2 linked regions of the Drosophila melanogaster genome follow. The protein of the gene in region 1 interacts with the protein of each later gene in a pairwise test. Each region holds a gene or a part of one and is shown in the gene's direction. Other genes may lie near its edges.

What was found. Proteins that work in one complex are often made in the same cells at the same time.
Region 2: the proteins of wor (region 1) and AP-1mu interact in a two-hybrid assay, tested with the Drosophila melanogaster proteins (one large-scale study listed by BioGRID).

The regions. Positions count from the first base shown.
Region 1 is NT_033779.5:15,423,894-15,427,647, reverse strand, and holds the start of wor (worniu), read left to right. Parts: upstream 1-2,067; 5' UTR 2,068-2,217; coding exon 2,218-2,305; intron 2,306-2,367; coding exon 2,368-3,754.
Region 2 is NT_033777.3:9,557,685-9,561,438, reverse strand, and holds AP-1mu (adaptor protein complex 1, mu subunit), read left to right. Parts: upstream 1-1,913; 5' UTR 1,914-2,189; coding exon 2,190-3,011; intron 3,012-3,070; coding exon 3,071-3,529; 3' UTR 3,530-3,727; downstream 3,728-3,754. Other genes in the region: MBD-like (Methyl-CpG binding domain protein-like), read right to left, coding at 27-516, 826-1,167, 1,408-1,598.

The DNA.
Region 1 (3,754 bases):
TATTTAAAGAAAGTAATTCTGATTTAATACTTGGTGAAATCTTTTTATTGGCAGAAAATCCGATCAGAAACAGAATATTTTTGTTGAATATTATTGTATATTGTAGAATGCTTAAATATACATTAAAGAACTCGGGAGACTTAGCACTCTAATTATGGCAATCTCTAAAGGTTTTTTGAATCTTAAACACTTCATAAAAGATCAGTATCAGATTTTTTGATCTTAGAGTATTGAAGGCATAATTTGCTTACCCTGAATTAAAATTTCATTATAAAAGATGAGCCAACGAAGCATCAAAGACCGATTAATAGTTTCTCAATTCCAGTTAATTATAATTCAAAAATCACTTTTCAATGTACCATCAGAGAACATTTCCTATTGTTACAAGGATCACAACACATCCCGGCCAGCTGAGTTCGTTACAGGATTTTGGCGCCAAATACCCGTGGCATGGAATAATCAGTTCCAAGACGAAATCAGTTCCTTGTGGTACGTGTCACAGTCGGCAGATGTGGGAATAGATGATGATCGGGGGGTGCGACTCTCCTTGCAAGACGCTCGACGAGGGGTTGGCTAGAAAGTAACGTCCAAAACTGCAATTCCACCACCATCACCGGCTTTATTCCGACGAAGGTTGTCTGGTGATGCCGTGGATTTTGGGGTGGGACCACTGCGCCAGGTAGATTTGCACGAACCTCTCTCTTTTGGCGCATTCCAAGGCACTCAGCTCCGTTCGGAAAAATAAAGCCAGGTAACTGTCCGGGCACATGCCCATTTTGGGGTGGATTGGAGGTCGCTGGCAGATGGCGGGATTCTTTAATATCGGGAATTGAAATTTCATGGCCGTTAGGGGGTTATTTCTGCCGAGTGCACCGATACACGAGGAGGCGGAGAACCGGAACAATACTCTGGGAAAGGTTGATTTACCTTAGATCTGCGCGCTGTTTGTCCTGGTGATTAATATTTTTGTGGACGTCTAAGTGGGTACATTGCATTGTAGCTTGGCTCGATTTAATGGCGGAGCCAATGTCACGTGCTGATCCTACTCAGCTGCCAGCCGGAGAGGATCGCTCCGATAAGGATCAATTGGAATCCTAAGTGCTTCTTTTCTTCTGTAACAGCGTGCGATTTTATACAACAAATGAAAAGCTTTGAAAGAGAAAATAGAACAACTTTCCTGTACCTTTATTGTAATATCTTCTATCTTAATGATTTTAATTGAGAACGTTTTAATTATTATGGTATTTAAATATTTGGGCATAATTTCCTAAGTCGAGCCCCTGAAAAATCTTCACACTCTCCGATCAGCAAAGTCAGCCGAATATGTGATCGTTTAAGCTCAGCTCAGAAAAATTTGAATAGTAAACATAATAAGAAGCTTAAGAAAACACAGCTGAATTATCCTCCGAATAGCACAGAAAGCTATCTCTTAAGTTCGTGGGACGACTGACAGTTGGAACAAGAGCGCCCCAAAGAGCGAAGAGAGTTGAAAATTGTGGGGTACGAAACTTCTCTTGGTGGGGCTCCAAAGAGCATGCTCACCTGCTCACGAAGAGCAAACGTCCATTAGGCTTATATACAAAGCGATCGTGTGAGGCGGACCCGAAAGAGGCTTATAAATAAACTTGATCGGGTATATAGCAATAGCAAGCTCGCCACCAGCTGCCGCTCACTCATACCATTGAAATTCAGGGGAAATACGAGCTGAACCAGAGAGGCAGCTGGTGGCGATCGGCGAGTGGAACGGAGAGAGTCCCTGTGGCACGTGCTCGCTTTTTACACACAGATTTGTTCCTCTCGTCTCCAGGTCCCTCCCTCTCTCAACGATTCTCTATATGGCAGTGGTACCCCCGGACTGCCCGATCTGCAGCTGTATCTGCGTTCAATGAACGCACAGCTGTGGCTCGATCGCTGAATGGATCTTTTGGCTCGTGGTTCGGGGTGGATTTACAGAATCCCGGGCGACATCGGAAGTAGGTAGACGCCAAGATCCTTTTTGCCCAGGGGGTTGATCATCCTGCCAGGGGGTTGATCGGGAGTCTATAAAACCGGACTGATCCTTGCCGGGTTGCATCATTCGAGCAAGGAACTCCAAGCGATCGAGACGCGTGTGGCGAAAGCAAATGAGTGAGCAGTGATTTAAGTTCAAGGATCGGTATTAAATACAAAATCGAAGATCAGTGATCAGTAACCATAAGGAATAATAACATAGCAACCATGGATAAACTCAAGTACAGCCGCTGCCCGCTCAAGAAGCGTCCGATAATGGTGGAGGAGTCCAGCCCAGAGGATCACCTAAGTCATGGTAGGTTTAAGGCTACGGAAGTGATTTACAGGCATATTTTAACTTTATGCTGATTTCAACAGATGAAGGACCAGTGGACTTGAGTGTGGCCTCGGCTGCAGTGCCTATGGAGCCCCATTGGATGGCTAAATCCGAACCGGAACCTCAGCCGGTGCCCACGGAATTGAGGCGCCGCTTCGATGCAGCCATGAATCAGACCAAGGAGCAGTTGGCCCGTCGCATTTGGGAGGAAACCCGTGAGATAGCCCGCGCTTTTCCGGATGTCTTCACCCGGGAGGAAATCGCCAAGAGTCTTGCTCGCCTGGGTTACGGCGAGTTCGAGTTGCCACCTGAGGAGGAAGTAATGGAGCCGGAGCCGGAACCAGAACAGCATCTGCCTCTTCGATATACAAGAGATGCTAGCCCAACCATCATCAAGGCTGAACCCTCTGATGAGGAACAATTTCCCCTGCGAAACTACAATAACAACCTACTCAAAAGCATAGCCGAGTATGAGGACTGTATGAAAATGCAGAACATCAAAGAGGAGATACCTCCGATTCCATCACCCCAGTTGTTCTATCCACCCCCGACTCCACTGGCCGAACCGGAGGACCTATCCGTAACCCAGAGGAGAGTGCTGAGCGAAAACATGAATCTGCAGAATGTGGCCAGAGCTTTGCTGAGCATGCAACACATGGCTCCGCAACATGCGCCGCCTCCGATAGACATGGAAGAGGATCAGGAGAATCAGGACATCAACCAGCTGAAGATCAAGAGCAGCAATGATCTGTACTACCAGTGCCAGCAGTGCAACAAGTGCTATGCCACCTATGCAGGATTGGTAAAGCATCAACAAACGCACGCCTACGAAAGCACCGAGTACAAGATCATTAGAAGCCAGCCTGGAGGATCAGGTGCGATAGTCGACCAAACCGAGTTTTGCACGGATCAAGCTTCGGCTTTGATTCAGGCAGCTAATGTAGCCTCAGCACAGAGCATGCAAAAGCCAGTGGGAGTGCCGCGATACCATTGCCAGGATTGCGGAAAGAGCTACTCCACCTACTCGGGACTCTCTAAGCACCAGCAGTTCCATTGTCCGTCGGCCGAGGGCAATCAGGTGAAGAAGGTCTTCAGCTGCAAGAACTGCGACAAGACCTATGTGTCCTTGGGCGCCCTGAAGATGCACATTCGCACGCATACCCTGCCCTGCAAGTGTCCCATCTGCGGCAAGGCGTTTTCGCGACCATGGCTCCTCCAGGGTCACATACGCACCCACACGGGAGAGAAGCCCTTCAGTTGCCAACACTGCAATCGGGCCTTCGCGGATAGGTCAAATCTCCGCGCGCACATGCAAACCCATTCGGATGTGAAGAAGTACTCGTGCCCCACCTGCACCAAGTCCTTCTCGCGTATGTCCCTGCTGGCCAAGCACCTGCAAAGCGGTTGCCAGACTGAGCAGAGTGGAGG
Region 2 (3,754 bases), on another chromosome or scaffold:
AGATGCATGGGGGTTAACCATTGAACTCATGTCTTGAGTGCATCCTGCAGCTTTCGCCGCGCAACTCCGACCCGATCCTCCTGTTTGCGTATGTCGTCCTCCGAAATGATCACCGCGTGCATTAGCGGTTGTTCAGGATTCATAAACGCCATGGCATTCTTGGTCAAATCAGCCTTCGTAGAACTCTGGCCGTGTACGCCGGCGTTGAGCATATGCAGGGCCGTGGCCACCGACTGGAGGACGGTCTGTTCGTTGACATTGGGGCCAACGGTGCGTATGGTCTTGGGCAGTGAGATGTCGTCTAGCTCCTCGCCACTGTCGTGGCAGGCGCGTAGTCGTTCCAGTCGCTTCTCCCAGAACAGCTGTTTCGGCTTCTCCCGAGTGCCATGCTTGGGTTCATTCTTCGCTTTGGCGGGATCCTGTTTATGGTTGCGAATCACCGTCACCGGTTGCTTGAAGATCGAGGCAGTCTGTCGAATGGGAGGCACCAGGGAGACATCAGTGCGCAGGGCTCGGCTGTAAGGGATTAAAGATTGGAAATGTATTAGAGAAACGCCTTCAAAAAGCTAAAACACCGAACAGCACATTAGACAAAGCGTAAAGTAAAGCTTTAGCATGCAGAGATGGTGGAACATAAATCTCAGGTGGCACAGAGCTACAGCGTTTTTGAAGACAACTACGAATTGTTTTGCCAATTGTGTGTTTCTTTGGGTATTTTTTCATTTGATGCTTTTTAATTGCCGCAGGCTGTAGACCTTGCGTCCTGGCAAACAAGACATGACACGCTGACATGCAAGAGTCAAGTGCTCATCCACTTGGCTCTACCTGAGTTCGATCTGTTGCTGCTGGCGATTGGCCGTTGATGGTGAAGCAGATGCTGCTGTCGCTGTTGCTGCTGACGAGGCGGTCGCTGCCGGAGGAGCAGCTCCTGCTGCTCCTGCAGCATTGCCTCCTTGACTCCGGGCGAACTTGCGCTTGAGGGCATTGGCCGCCGATCCGCTGGTGGCCCCATTACCGCCCCCGCTTGCTATAGGCAGCGGCATGGCGCTGCAGCGGTACAGCGAAATGGAGGGCGAGGGCAGGGCGCAGTGCGGCATTTTGCCAGGCTGGAAATCAGGGATTGCAATGTCCTGTGGCTTTCCCTCCGCCCTTTTTCCTGTGGGACTGCTGAACAGACACGGCGGTGGATGGATATTTTTGGTGGGTTAGGTGGTAGTTCGTGTGCGTGTGTATACATAGGCGTATGCGTGTGTGTGGTGTATATGGTGTGTGTGTGTGTGGTTATGCGGATGTAATAACAGAAAGGTAGTGAAAGTGATTATAAACGTTTATCCGATTAAACAGCGTGCAGTGTTCCGATTTTAGGTATATAGTAGTCTATATAGTAATTCTGCTCTTCTTCTTTACCTGTAGTAGAAAACATCCACCTTGTTATTGTTGTTGTTGCTGCTGGCTGTGGCACTGCTGTTGTTGTTGCTGCTGGCGTTGTTATTGGCGCTGCTGCCGGACTTTCGGACCTCGTCGCGCTGCCATCCCTTTGGCAGGACACTGCAGTCGACGCGTTTGCGCTCGATTGTGACGCTCGGGTTCATTTGCATGCTCGCCGAAATAAATAATTAACAATTCCACAAAAGCAGCGTCTGGGCTAGCAGTGTGGCCGTACTGCGGATGGCCACAAATGCCGGATGGCACAATAGTGATGCTAGATTACATTCTCCAATATATTTATGATTTGAATTTAAAGGTACCAATGGGAAAATGAAAATAATTTAAAAGGTATTTATTTAAAAACAGAAACCTTAAGATGTTACACCTTGCACATTTTTCATTTCCTTTAAGCTTAATTCGCTAGTTAATCAGCAGTAGACCAATCTCACCTGGCCACACTGCCCAACACCTGATGTGAACATTTCACAGCACTGGTGGGCCAACTAATAAGAAAAAGAAGCAGCAGAAAAGGCGACGTAAGAAATTCCGGAGTTTTCATTCGCATTTTCCAGTCTACGAAACGGAATATGTAAATCCAGCCCATTGATAGACCTAGCCCACTCATCGCCACCTCGCGACAGTTGCCAACTTCCACGCGCAACGCCTGCCGCGAGCAGTAGAACCATCGAAGCGACCTCCCACTCGATCCAATTGGGAATTTTACACCTGGGACAAGTGGCAGCTGCTGGGAACCAAGAGACATGTCTTCGTCGGCCATTTTCGTTCTGGACGTGAAGGGCAAGGTGCTGATATCGCGGAACTACCGCGGTGACAACATCGACATGGCCGTGATCGACAAATTCATGCCATTGCTGATGGAGCGCGAGGAGGAGGGCCTAATCACTCCGATCCTTCAGACGGCGGAGACTACATTTGCCTACATCAAAACGAACAATCTTTATATCGTATCCACGACGCCGCGCAATAAGAACGTTAATATCGCTCTGGTCTTCGTCTTTCTGCACAAGATCGCGCAGGTCTTTGTGGAATACTTCAAGGAGCTGGAGGAGGAGTCCATTCGGGACAATTTCGTGATCATCTACGAGCTGCTGGATGAATTGCTCGACTTTGGCTACCCGCAGACCACCGACTCGAAAATTCTACAGGAATACATTACGCAGGAGGGTCATAAGCTGGAGCTACAGCCCCGCATCCCGGTGGCCGTGACCAATGCAGTATCCTGGCGGTCCGAGGGCATTAAGTATCGCAAGAACGAGGTGTTCCTGGACGTTATCGAGTCGGTGAATCTTCTCGCAAACGCCAATGGCAATGTGCTGCGCAGCGAGATCGTGGGCGCCATTAAGATGCGCGTCTACTTGTCGGGAATGCCAGAGCTGCGACTGGGTCTCAACGACAAGGTTCTGTTCGAGAGCACGGGCCGCGGCAAGTCAAAGTCCGTAGAGCTGGAGGACGTCAAGTTCCACCAGTGCGTGCGGTTGTCACGCTTCGAGAATGACCGGACAATCTCGTTCATTCCTCCGGACGGCGAGTTCGAACTGATGTCCTATCGTCTGAACACGCATGTGAGTATTTTTATGTACTTAGCACCAAAATGCAAGACTAACTAAACCCCTGTTGACAGGTCAAACCCCTGATTTGGATCGAATCAGTGATCGAGCGGCATGCCCACTCCCGTGTGGAGTACATGATTAAGGCGAAGTCTCAGTTCAAGCGAAGATCGACGGCCAACAACGTGGAAATCGTCATACCAGTGCCCGCCGACGCGGACTCACCCAAGTTCAAGACCACCATTGGAAGCTGCAAGTACGCACCGGAGCAGAACGCAATCATCTGGACGATCAAATCGTTCCCGGGTGGCAAGGAGTATCTAATGCGGGCACATTTCGGTCTGCCGAGCGTGGAAAGCGAGGACAATACGGAGGGCAAGCCGCCAATTCAGGTGCGCTTCGAGATTCCCTACTTTACCACGTCGGGCATCCAGGTGCGCTATCTGAAGATCATCGAGAAGAGCGGCTATCAGGCGCTGCCATGGGTGCGGTACATCACGCAGAACGGCGACTATCAGCTACGCACCAATTGAAAGGGGCAACTCCCGTTCCTGCATCATTCCAGCCAAGCTTCAGCGAGTCATCCTGCAACAGGTAGCTTCATCTCCACCCGCGTTTTTGTCTGCGATGCGTTGCGTTAAGTCAAAAGTATATATTTGTATTCGTATTGTTTCAGTATATGTATATTGTATGTAAATCAAATTTAATAAATTTTAACACCTTTTCATAACACCTGCACCAGAGTGGGTCACTTTGTA